4 separate regions of the Mus musculus genome follow, and regions 1, 2 and 3 are each reported to be linked to region 4. The links are microRNA targets in miRTarBase. Many come from high-throughput screens and were not tested one by one. Region 4 holds a microRNA gene; each other region holds the end of a gene's coding sequence.

The links. Region 4 holds the annotated microRNA mmu-miR-9-5p (UCUUUGGUUAUCUAGCUGUAUGA, at 1,567-1,589, shown strand). A microRNA usually pairs through its seed, bases 2 to 8, with sites in the 3' UTR of a target mRNA and lowers its output. Matches are read on the target gene's strand: a 7mer-m8 pairs with bases 2 to 8, a 7mer-A1 pairs with bases 2 to 7 and ends in A, and an 8mer does both.
Region 1: the mRNA of Prrt3 is a reported target of mmu-miR-9-5p. Seed matches in the 3' UTR shown: 7mer-A1 at 2,481-2,487.
Region 2: miRTarBase lists Kif5a as a target of mmu-miR-9-5p. The part of its 3' UTR that is shown has no 7-base or 8-base seed match.
Region 3: miRTarBase lists Chl1 as a target of mmu-miR-9-5p. The part of its 3' UTR that is shown has no 7-base or 8-base seed match.

The regions. Positions count from the first base shown.
Region 1 is chr6:113,491,468-113,494,546 of GRCm38, forward strand. Prrt3 (proline-rich transmembrane protein 3) reads right to left here. Exons shown (of 4, transcript NM_001289700.1): 4 at 2,172-3,079. The coding sequence ends at 2,824. Creld1 (cysteine-rich with EGF-like domains 1) reads left to right here. Exons shown (of 10, transcript NM_133930.2): 7 at 186-269; 8 at 427-522; 9 at 657-791; 10 at 1,220-1,876. The coding sequence ends at 1,434. Among named protein-coding and RNA genes, the nearest start is that of Prrt3, 8.9 kb to the right of the region's middle.
Region 2 is chr10:127,226,994-127,230,072 of GRCm38, reverse strand. Kif5a (kinesin family member 5A) reads left to right here. Exons shown (of 29, transcript NM_001039000.4): 28 at 217-328; 29 at 1,652-3,079. The coding sequence ends at 295. Among named protein-coding and RNA genes, the nearest start is that of Pip4k2c, 17 kb to the right of the region's middle.
Region 3 is chr6:103,728,785-103,731,863 of GRCm38, reverse strand. Chl1 (cell adhesion molecule L1-like) reads right to left here. Exons shown (of 27, transcript NM_007697.2): 27 at 1-2,745. The coding sequence ends at 2,529. Among named protein-coding and RNA genes, the nearest start is that of Gm52914, 19 kb to the left of the region's middle.
Region 4 is chr13:83,737,255-83,740,333 of GRCm38, forward strand. Mir9-2 (microRNA 9-2) reads left to right here and starts at 1,560; the gene lies at 1,560-1,631. It overlaps C130071C03Rik (RIKEN cDNA C130071C03 gene), which reads left to right. Exons shown (of 4, transcript NR_152245.1): 4 at 916-3,079. Gm51268 (predicted gene, 51268) reads right to left here and starts at 1,622; the gene lies at 1,567-1,622.

The DNA.
Region 1 (3,079 bases), not on the chromosome of region 4:
GGCTGCACCTAGCCGCAGGGCTCGAGTGTCTGACAGGATAGCGCTAATCCAGCTGCCCTTACTTAAGAGTTGGTAGTCGGCCTGCAGCATCTACCACATTTGCGATCATAGACAAGTCCACTCCTGGACAGTCCTGCCGTAATTCCTCTGCAAAGGGACACTCCCAACCTTTGCCCTCTCCACAGACATCGATGAGTGTGGTACAGAGCAAGCCACCTGTGGAGCTGACCAGTTCTGTGTGAACACAGAAGGATCCTACGAGTGCCGAGGTCAGTGTCGGCTGCCCAAGGGAGAGGCTGGAATGGAAGAGAGGGACAGGAGGTGGTGCTTCAGGCCTTTCCCTCCGAACTTCTGCTATTCAGGCTCCAGAGCCTGAGATTGGGGCGGGGGGGGGGGCACCCCTCACTTCTGCCCTCTCTTTTTCAGACTGTGCAAAGGCCTGCCTGGGCTGTATGGGAGCAGGGCCAGGGCGCTGCAAAAAGTGCAGCCGTGGCTACCAGCAGGTGGGCTCCAAGTGCCTAGGTGAGTCTTCTGCCAAAAGGGGCTGGAGTATGGGGGAGGCAAGGGAAGGAAGGATGCACACTGAGACCGTGGGGAGCTGTGCGGGGAGCCTGTGGCAGTCAGCACCCTGACCTGTTCCCCTCCCCCACCCCCAGATGTGGATGAGTGTGAGACTGTGGTGTGTCCAGGAGAGAATGAGAAGTGTGAAAACACGGAGGGAGGCTACCGCTGTGTCTGTGCTGAGGGCTACAGACAGGAGGACGGCATCTGCGTGAAGGAGCAGGTCCCGGGTAAGCAGGGTGGGAGGCTGGACTGCTCCTGAGGGAGAGCAGACAAGCTCCTCCTCCGGGCCCCACCCCACTGCTACCCAGCCCCCAGAGAGGCTGCCCTGAGACTCAGTCCCTGTGCATCCTCAAGGTCGGCTTTTGGTGGTCTCACCTCCGCGTAGAAAGAGAATTAGATTTGGCAGCAAACTCCACCTATCCCAAGTTTTCTGATGTTCCCAGGGACCGTCCTTCAAAGCTTTGAGCAGTCCCTTCACCTCCCAGCTTCCTTCGAGCTTAGTGAGGTAGCTCCTGCAAGGCTTTCTCAGTAGTGAATGCTGCTTGTGCTTGGTGAGCTAGGCGGGCCCGGGCAGCCGTGATCAGGCGTGTGGGAGGTGTGGGCAGCTCCGGGAACTGCCAGGAAGGAGGCAGTGACAGGCGCACCTCCTCTGCAGAGTCGGCGGGCTTCTTTGCGGAGATGACGGAGGATGAAATGGTGGTTCTGCAGCAGATGTTCTTTGGTGTAATCATCTGTGCGCTGGCCACGCTTGCTGCCAAGGGTGACTTGGTGTTCACTGCCATCTTCATTGGAGCTGTGGCAGCCATGACTGGGTACTGGTTGTCAGAGCGGAGTGACCGTGTGCTGGAGGGCTTCATCAAGGGTAGATAATCCCTGCCGCCACTCACAGGATTTCCTCCCACCCAGGCTGCTCCTAGAGGTTATTTCTCTCTCCCTATGGATACCTGGGACAGCATAGTTTCTCTTTGAGACTGGGGTAAACACCCTTTTACCTGCCTTACTGAGCAGCCCAGGACCCCAGTGGCCCCAGGGGGTTGAAAAAGAGGTCCTGAAGCAGATGCCACGAGATCCTAGCCTAGGACACTGGCAGGCCTCACCGTGTATGAATCCCAAGACAGTTTCTCCCCAGGGAGGTTGCAGGTGGGCTTTGGCCCCTGACCCGGATGAGAGGTGTCCCCTCAGGGGTGGGCCCCCATAGGCCCCTTGCCAGGTGCATGCTGCCAGCTCCAGCTGTGTATTCACCGCCCACGCCCTAGCCATCGACTTATTTATTCATCTCAGGAAATAAAGGACGGTCTTGAAAATGGGAAAAGCTTCAGTCTTAACAACCCACCACTGCCACTAAAGTGAAGTTTTCTACAGCCCTGGGGAATCATGGGCTGCCATGTTAGAGAAGTGCTGGAAAGGGGCTGGGGAGACAGGGAGGCTGTTAGGAGCAGTTGCTGCCCTTGCAGAGAGACTCCAGGTTCAATTCCCCGCACCCATGCAGTGCCTCACAGCCATCCAGCCTCCAGTCCTAAGGGACTGGACTCAGTCTCTGACCTTGGGTACCAAGCACACACATGGTGCACATAGACATGCAGGCAAAACATTCATACACATAAAATAAATCTACAAAAAACAATGTTTTTAAATAAAAACCAGCAAGAAATGGAGGAAGGGGAAAGATGACAGAGGAACCAGCTTAGGAGTCGGTCTTCCTGGGTTGAACCCCAGCTGTTCTCATTTCCGGAAGTGGGCAGGATACTTTCCGATTAGGCCTTATATGGGGTTTGCAGGAGGTGGGGACTCCACAACAGACGGGTTTTTAGTGAGATAGGGGTGGCTGTACCTACCAAAGCCAGAGGTCTCTGCTGTGAGGAGAGACCCTGGCTTGACCAGAGCGAGGCATGAGCCCAATCGGAAGGGTTTTTATTTCTTTGGCACAAAGAGGACAGTCAGTCTGGACAAGTGAGGTGCATCTCTCCACACTGAGAGGGTCAGGGGTACCTGGCCCCTGGCCCCCATGATCAAATCCATGCACATCCACCCTGTGTTCCGTGTAACTCACGGCCTCTGTGCAAAATATCTGCTGAAAAAAATAGAGATATTAAAAAAACAAAAACAAAAAACGAGTTGGGTAAATTCAAGCCCGGCTGTACCCGGGAGCTGCAGTCTGGTGGAGGCCCGGGAGGGCCAATTTTTCAAATGCTCAACTGTCTTGGCTCAGCCTCTTCTTGTGGACATTGAGGAGAGGGTACAGGTTCTCTCCGTAGGTGCTTAGAGCTCTATAGTGTCACTAGAGGCGCTGTGAGACTCGCTGGACTTGCAACGCGACTGGCCCTCGCCCTGAGGCTCCCCCGCCCGGGCAGGAGCAGGGACTGGGGTAGGTGGTGGCAGCAGCTGCACGGTGCTGGGCAGTTCATCTAGGGGCAGGCTGTCCACGGATGACAGCCCGTGACGCCACGGGTTCCAGCTGATCTTCAGCGAGCCCTTGGAGAAACTGTCCAGGGAGCTGCCCGAAGTCCCCGCGGCC
Region 2 (3,079 bases), not on the chromosome of region 4:
CTGGGGAGGAGGGAAGAAATGAGGCAGGAGATCCAGGCACTCCCATGGGTACTTTCTCCGTACCTCAGGGAACGTTCCGACCTTGGGCAAGGCCTGAGGTTCCTTAGGAAGCCTGCATCCTTCCTGCCCTCACCCGCCCTTCAGTATCTCAGGCACGCTGTCAGAGTGCTGGCCGCAGTGGGGGCAGAGCTGTTGACAGGCTGTTTCTTCCTCCAGGAGTGACCTGCCGTGTGGCTATGAGGCTGAGGACCAGGCCAAGCTTTTCCCTCTCCACCAAGAGACAGCAGCCAGCTAACTCCCAACCCTGGCCACATATCTGCACTTTCAGGTAGCTGCAGGCCACTTCCCTCCCTAGCCCCAGCCTCCTCCTGTCTGGCCATGGCTGCTTCTCCTGTTCATGTGTATGTGTATATGTTTGTATGTGTCTGTATGTGTGTGTTGTGTGTGCATGAGTGTACCCACATCAGGAGGCCAAGGTTAGTAGGTGTGGGTGTCTTCATTTGTGTGTGTGTGTGTGTGCGCGCTCACATCCACAGGCCAGCCTTGGTGTGGGTGTCTTCCTCTCTCACTTTCCATCTTACTTTTTGAGGTCTCTCACAGAACCTGGAGCTTGCTGTTTTGGGGTAGACTGGCTGGTCAGTCACCTCCCCACCCTCCCTCTGTCCCACCCCACCCCCCATATCTGCCCATTTCTGTCCCCTGGGGTACTGGGGATCCAAACATAGTCCTCATGTCTGTTCAGTAAGCACTTAGTGACTGAGCCAAAATCTTCCAACTCCTGCTTGGCCCTGTATGGCTGCACGAGGCAGAGGCAGGGAGATCATGAGTTCAAAGGAGTCCTGGATTCATGAGACCCTGTATCAAAACCAAACAGAAACATTTGCTAAAAAGCCCAAATCTCATTCATAGCCAACCCTGACCTCCCATGGCCCCAAGCCTTCCCTTAGGTGCTGGTGGTAATCACAGTACTCATTTCTACCACTAGGGGTCACTGTCATACATTAAAATTTTTGTTAAAGGCAAGGGCTGCTGTCCATCGGTCTACTACCTTGTGCCTTTACCCTAAAATAGCCTTAAAATAGCCTTAGATACACAGAGATGTCTAAGCCACCTCGTGTAAAGGTGATGTCTGCACTACTCCTGGATTGACATATGCTGCCAAAGACTCTCGGTGTCTCTAGCTAGAAACAACAGTACGGTCAGTAAAAATGGAAACCAGCTGCCTCCCCATCCACTAACCCTCCAGCTTCAACACCTCCCCAATCACACCAAGTCCCCGATCACACCAGGACCTGGTGTCACCGGGCATATTCCATGTTTGTTTTAGACCCCAGATGGTCAGAGAGACCTATGTTATGGTACACTTTATAGCTCCTTTGCTGAATCAAGAGAAAATGTCCAGTCTTGCTGAGATGCACGAGGCCGCGTCCCTCCCAGGCTTTCCCCGGACAGTGGCTCAGGCAGAAAAGCAGGAGAGAAAGAGATGTGTTAAGGGGGAGAGGATGCTGGCAAGACTTGGGGTGGAGAAACATGGATTGGACTGGCTGGCAGTGGGGGGTGGGGCTGGCTTCGTGGTGTTCTATGTTGTCTGTTCCTACACAGAGGCCAGGCCGGGCTGGCTCCTCACACCCTCTTTCTCTTTCTTCCCCAGTTTCTAAGAGGGACTGAGGCCTCTTCTCTCAGCATGCTGCAAAACCTGTGGTCTCTGACACTAACTCCCTCCCCAGCCCGTGATGTTGGACTGTTTGATGTCTCCTCCTATTCCGTATCTCTTTGTACTCTGTATCTATCTATCAGAAGCTGCTGCTGTCTCTCCTCTCTGTCCTCCCCTCTAAGTATCTGATGATGTATTTAGCAGTTTTTAAGCATAGTCTCCCTTCCTCGTTGGGCGTTAGGGAGGAGGGAATATTTCTTCTTTCTTCCATAGACTCGTTTCTTACACCGAGTGATGTCAGTCACTGAGTAGAGGTCACAAAAGATAAAGGAAAAATGGGAGCGGGGAGGCTGCCCTTCTTCTCTCTCACAAACACACGTGTACACGCACACACGCATGCACACACAGTGTACATACAAAGCCTTAAGCAGAGGAATGTCTTAGCATCTACGAAAAGAGAGAAATAGACCCCTTCCCTCTTTACACAGAACACAGAGGAGGCCCCAGTGGAAGGTTGCGACACCGCTCTCTCCCTCACACATACGCATCCCTCACCGGAGTCAGCACACTGGAGGCGGTCTCCTCTGCCCTGTGAGGTCTGCCTTGTGCTCCCTTCCCTGGTTGGAGAGCATGGACTACTCAAGGGACTGTTTCCCTTTCTGGCCCAAGCCTCTTGTACTTTCCACTCCAGATATCACAACCAGAACTTAGAGTTGGTTTAAAACATCTTCTGAAAATTCGAGAAGGCGGACTGCTGAGAAACCGCTGCTCACCTGTCTGTGCCAATAGTTATACGCAGGTGGAGTCAGAATGGTTGGCTCCCTGGCTCTGGGGAGTGAGCAGGCTGAGGGACTACTGTGTGCTACTCTGTCACAGAACCCTCAGGTTGAAGCTCCAAGCTCGTTCTTTCTCCCATATTGGGCTGTGTGTGCTTCCCACTCCTGACTTTGGTTTGGGGCTTCCGGTTTGTTGGCATAATCGCCGTCTCTAGATGCCGTCCCTTCAGAATGGAATCTGGCCTGTTCCCAGTATACCTTCCTCCCCCAAACACAGTTCCTTCTGTAATCTCCATCTGGTCCCAAGTGCACTTTAAAGACAGGGGTGGGGGAGCAGGTTGGAGCATGGTGGCAGGCGGCCTCCCTGACACAGGAAAAAGCTCTGCTGTTGATCCCAGCACTGCAAAAGCAAAAAAGCAGAAGCTGGGTGTAGTGGCTCACACTTTCGAATGTTGCTCTCAGGAAGCCGAGGTAGGAAAATTGCTAAATTTGAGGCTATCCTGGACTACACAGTTAGATCCAGGAGAGCTTGTACTATGACGGGAGGAAATCCTATCTCAGAATGAAGGAAAGGGAAGAAGGAAGAGGAAGGAAGGAAGGAAGGAAAAGTAAGGAAAGGGAGGAAGGAAGGAAAGAAAGGAAGGAAGGG
Region 3 (3,079 bases), not on the chromosome of region 4:
AAACAATTATTATTGCCCATTGTAGTCAGCATTGCACGTCAGAGTCTGCCACCCATTGTTTGAGACAGTAAAAGAATAAAATCCACTTTAACCAATTGGATTTGTTTTCATTTGAATGTAGTAAGTAATATAATTCTATAATTAAAATAAAAAGTCCATGGACCTTGGCCTGCTTTGCTGAAGAGTTACAACGGAATGAAACCAAATAGTATGTATAAGTTCACAGAGGCTAGCAAAAGGTGTTATAAGCCAATCTCCCATTCCCACAGCTAAGGAAAGAATGATGAGATCCATTGGAAATATAAGTATTTGTGTCAACTTCTCACTCGAAGATTATTAAATTCCTAATGACTCTATTCTGAACGTTTGGATGTTATTTTCCACTTATATAACCCTTTTCCAGGCACATTTTGATGATAAAGAGGAGGCAGAATAATAACATGTTTAATGTCAGTCACATCCATTATTTCCTCTGGGGCTCAGCACTACAGGTCCTCCCATAAAAATAGCACACAGTGATGGATTTTCCAGAAATCTGTGCCCTGGTCATCAGAAAGGGCTGGAGAGCTGCTCACACAGCTGGACTTCTGGATCCTTACACTCACACCCGCTTTCATTTGGTACTTCCAGGAGAGTAACTGAATACTGAGATCCATGGGTTTTAAAAACAAACAAACAAACAAACCCAAAACCAACCAAAACAAAAAATCAAAACAAAACCCCAAGAAACATCCACAAAAATTAAAAACAAAAACAAAACCAAGATTTTCCTGCCTATGCATTCTCGAGGATGCCTGTGGGCAAAACATATGCTTCATGTTTATTACTGCATTGGCTCTTTTGCATGTCCACAATTTAAATCCCCAAGTAACACAATGCATTATGCCAATTAAACATGAAGAATGAATAATATGGTCAGTAATTATACAAACTAAAGTTAAATCTGTGAACCAATATCACTTAACATGTAATAATTTCATGGTGAAGCTAAAATGTTTCCATTAAATGTGAAAGGAAATACTAATATTTAACATTTACTTATATGTATGCAGAGTCCTTCAAGGGATTTCTAAAATGCTCTAAACCCTATGTACCATTTTAGATGGACTGGTAGCCCACATGCCAGAAATTAAAATCCCTGAATCTGTACTAACTTTGATAGAAGGAAAACATTAAAAATGATCATACCACTACAAATACATTTACAATATGATATAAACTAACAGGTATATAAGAATTTCTACTGTAGGTAATTTTCTTTTTGGAGTGCTGGGGTAGGAATCCATTCCACAACTTACTTTGGAAAATATGAATGTATTTCCCTCTATGATTATATAATGTTTTATTTTTGAGACCACATGAAGGAGGGAAATATAAGGACAGAATCCAATTTTTCATATAGTCTTGTATATGGAACCTCATGTTATTGTATCTAGCCCCAGAAGAATAAAAATGGTATCTTACTATATATATTCTAGCTGTACAATCATGCCTATTAATGTTCCTTTTCTCACTTTAAAATAAAACACTATGTTTTAAACTGTGTAAATATTAACATAATATGTACAATGCATTCATGAAATACACTCAAGGGTCTCAGTATATAAACATAAAGGCTGAAAGCCCTAAACTTACAAATGAAGATATAAAATCAAGACGTCTACATCTTTCTCTTTTTAAAATAACTTATGACTACCACTCCCTTTGCAGCTCCAGTTAGTTCAAGTTGAAAGAAGAAAGAAAGAAAGAAAGAAAGAAAGAAAGAAAGAAAGAAAGAAAGAAAGAAAGAAAGAAAGAAAGAAAGAAAGAAAGAGGGAGGGAGGGAGGGGAGGGAGGGGAGGGAGGGAGGGAAAGGTACATACAGAGTTACCATTACTAACAGAAATTAAACAGAATCATCCAGAAACTGAAAATATTGTAATCTGAGTAAAGATGGCCTTTGTCTGGGCAAAAAGTTAGGAGCTCAATAAATATGAGTGGTATGATCATCTAAGACTTTTGCTACTAAAATTTTAAATAATAACTTTAGACTGTATAGATTCCACGGGATGTTTAATAAGACAATCATGTTCCTTTTTACATTTTAAATAACCAGCTTGCTTGCTTACAATCTTTTATCCTGTAGTGAATCGAATTCACTAAAACAGTTCTTCAAAACTAAGTATAATTGTGCATCCAGAGAGAAACCCACACATCTTAGCAACATCAATGCACACACACTGAACAGGAGAGCCAGGTAGATGTGGAGTATCTGAAATGGGAACTTTGGATTCAGTCAAAGTGGATCTAAGTACAGGATTTGTTTCGTGTTCTGCATTTTGAGCACCTGAAATCAAAACCCAAAATGAAACACAAGTCTGAAGTTCTTGGCATCTGATTTTTTTTCCCTTTTTCTTTTTGAAGGCAGTGCTATTTCTTTCATCAAAATTGCAGAATATCAACCTCTGGACACGCGTTTCCGCTCCTGTGTAAAAGGCCTTGCTCCCCTTGTCCGGCTTAGCCACCCGTGGTGCCTGAATGTGTTGTTCTCATGCCCGGAGTGGGAAGGTGGCAGTTGAACTTCCATTGCTTTCAACGGATCCCTTCTCCTTAGCTCCAGTGTATGCGCCAATAAACGATCCATCTTCGTTGAATATGGACTGGTCTCCCTCTCCATATTCCACTAAACTGTCAGCACTCTCTGTGGGCTGCATGTTCCTATTCAGGGACCGAAGGCTTCCCTTGAGAGGTTTTTCATCACTGTCGCTAAAAAAACAAAACAAGACTTGACAAGGTCTAATAGGTTCTAGACTATCCAGGTTACTCATATTAACAAAAATGACAGAGACATACAAATGAAACGACATATTCACAAATAGATATTTAAAAAGCCGTAACCAATTTTCTTCATTCGGTGTAACTAAGGAAACTTTTTTTTTGTTTACACTTCTGTTTCCCTTTGAAATGAAGCATTCCTTAGTGGAATGAAGATGTAGCATGTTGATTTATATTGAGACGGTGGTCTGAGCCCCCTAAACTCACATGCTGAAATGCTAAGCCCCAGAATGATGGCAGTAGTAGGGGGCTGGGTCATTGGAAG
Region 4 (3,079 bases):
GTGTTGGATCTACATGTTCAGGAGACAAGACTTTTATTTTAATTTTATAAGCAAGTCTAGTGCATTATTGTCCAGTGTGAAATTTATGTTAAAACAGTAGACAAAGGCTCAGCATTTTTGCTACAGCAGAGTTGTGTACAACATTGAAACTATTGCTGCAATGTTTACCTGTGCAGCATGCTAACCCCCACACACACTCTATATGCAAAGCATTTTTAAAAAAGAAGCCCCACTGTTTAGATCGTGCAGTTCGAACTTACAGAACAAATATGCTGCCCTATCGCCACGGTACACAGATAGAAAACATGACTGAGCTGTAAAGCCATTAAAAACATAACACCAAAGCAAATTGTCATTGTAACCATCGACTCACTGCGTAAAAACAGAGCTGATTCCCAGCCCCAGAAAGCGAGGCCCTGCTTTAAGCAATAGTAAAGTGCCTTCCATCTGCCTGCCTATGCAATCTGCCAGAAGAGAAATGCAGGCAAAGAAGTTCCCCAGACCTGAAATGCTTTTATCTATCCTTAGAGAGAGATTTTCTCCATTCTTTGGATATTAGAGCGATCTACACTAGCGCCAAGGAGGTAAAAGGCCGCGGGTTGCTTTTCAAGGAGCAGTCCGTAGTGCTAGTGGATGAAATGTTGATTGAGAATATAGGGACTGCTGCAAAGCTGCTGCTGCCGTCGCCGCCACCGCTGCCGCCGTCGCCGCCGCCGTCGCCTGTGCTACTCCTGGCAGCAGGCGTGGGGCAGTTGGGTGACCACTGATGCATATCAATAACCATGTACTTGAGATTTCTCATGACATCATCATTACCTTGGTCTCCCGCAGTCTCAAACCTTTGACCTTGCCGGGCTGGTCCACAATTTGGCGGTGAAAGCCCCTCCAATGATGGCCCTTTTCTCCTTCTTTCAGACCGGGGCAGCAGTACGCCAGCAAGAGGGCATGCTCTGCCCGCCTAGAAGTCCTAAGAAATCGAGGATCTCCCTTAAAACATTCACATACAAGATATGTGCAATCAAGCTGCCTGCACTTGGTAAAAAAGATCATGATGCCTAACCCAATGATCCGGAGCAGATCTTTGAATCAGCTGTCACTTCTATAGAATGGGATTTCCCCCTTCTTCCTCTTTAACCAGCGTTGGAAACTGCCGATGGCTTTATACATCTCAGTAGAGGAAGGCTAAAGAATCTTCCGTGAGAATGAAGCAATTTACAATGCAAATAGAGGCCTGTGAAGAGAAGGACACTGCTGCTCACCCCCAACAGCTTGCTGCACCTTAGTCTCTGGTCTTAATTTCTGATACTCATAGATGAATTGTTGGCTAACGATACTGGAGATTACTTGCTGGAAGGGGAAAAGTTTGGAATAAACTCTGAATGCAACAGATCTCATTTGGATGTTCTAGCCGCACACACTAAGACAGAAACCAGGTCATGTTTACATGAAAGGAGAAGCTTAAACGCGGCAAGTACCCCGGAGGACTACGCTTCCCTAAAGCCAAAGAGGATCGAGATCTGGAGTTCAGCCAGAGGAAGGCAGCCTTGTGAGGGAAGCGAGTTGTTATCTTTGGTTATCTAGCTGTATGAGTGTATTGGTCTTCATAAAGCTAGATAACCGAAAGTAAAAACTCCTTCAAGGTCACCGAGGAACGTTCCGGAAAGAAAGACTGCAACCAAGAGACAGTAAAAACCAGAAAGGTCAGGAATGCTTATTGAATCTAACTTTTTTTATCTTATGATTGAAAGTGGGATGCAAGAAAATTAAGTGACACGCATATTGAAATCTAAAGGGGCCAGGCTTTGAGGGGCTTGTACAACTGGAGAGGAGAATTGTGTAGTGTTTTTTACGGGTGACGATGCATGTATTTTCTATATTGTTCATTTTGAAGCAAACGTTTACATATGAGGTTTTTTTTTTCTTTTTTTTTCTTAGAAAGCTGTTATAGTGATGTCTGGTACCTCGCTTAAAAATGATTTCATAATTATGTAGATTTGGGCTGTTCCTATCTGAGGCCCCTCCCCCAAGTTTGAAGCTTGTGCCTGGAAACTTTCTATGTATTTGGGTGTGTACATCAAATTCTGTGAAGTTAGACTTTCAGTAAAGCTTATACTGGAAGGTTAATAATTTATATCTACCGAAGACTTAGAGCTAGCAGGGAAAAGGGGTGGGGGCAAAGGCTGATTTTTATTCTTCTATTCAAAATACAAGGACAGATGCTTCTCTGTTCCAAGAGGGTTTCCTTGAGGAAGCTACTGAAGCAGAAAGACATGATGGAGACGAGATCGCCTCCCCTCTTGTCAAAGTGTTAAAAAAATGTTCTGTCTTACTCTGCGCCTAGCATTGGAAATGAAAGTGACATTTACGCCACAACCCACGTGTGCGCCTCCTCTCTTTTTGTTTAAGGATGATCAGGTCTATCCAGGAAACAGCTCTGGCATCCCAAACTGAAATAATTAGGACGTATATAGACCTGACAAAAATGGAAAGGGGGTGGGGAATCTGAGGGTCTGTCTTGCCTAATTGATTCCGCTAAACGGAAAGCAGGAGATGTGAACGGCAGGACGCTCCGATTCCCACGCTCGGGGGCAAGTGGTAAAGCCTGGCCGGCAGCCTATGACAGACAGCCCTGTTGGGGGGTAGGGGTATGAAAAAAACATCAAGCACACACACACCATACTCATCTCCATCGCTTAAGAAAGTAAAGGCATTTCCCACCCACAGCCATCTGCAGCCTCCCAAATGGCAACACCAACTGGTTGGTAGCTGCTATGTACTGTCTCTGTTCATTTTTAAACCTCTGTTTAATCTGGCCATGATTAAATTTGGATTTCTCCTTTGGTTGAAATTTTCACCATTTAAGGAAAACAAGTGGAAAGGGTGCCAAGAGTGCCCCAGAACTGCATGCCCTTCTCAGAGAAGTCCTCAGTATGTGGTTAGGGCCTTGTGACCACCTTTGGCTTTTGTTTTGGCTGTGTTATATTTTAAAGTCATGTCTCATAGCATTCATTATTATGACTTACTTCATCGGGTTGTTTACTTCCTTGTGTGACACACAGGAACTTGGCCTACTTATGCT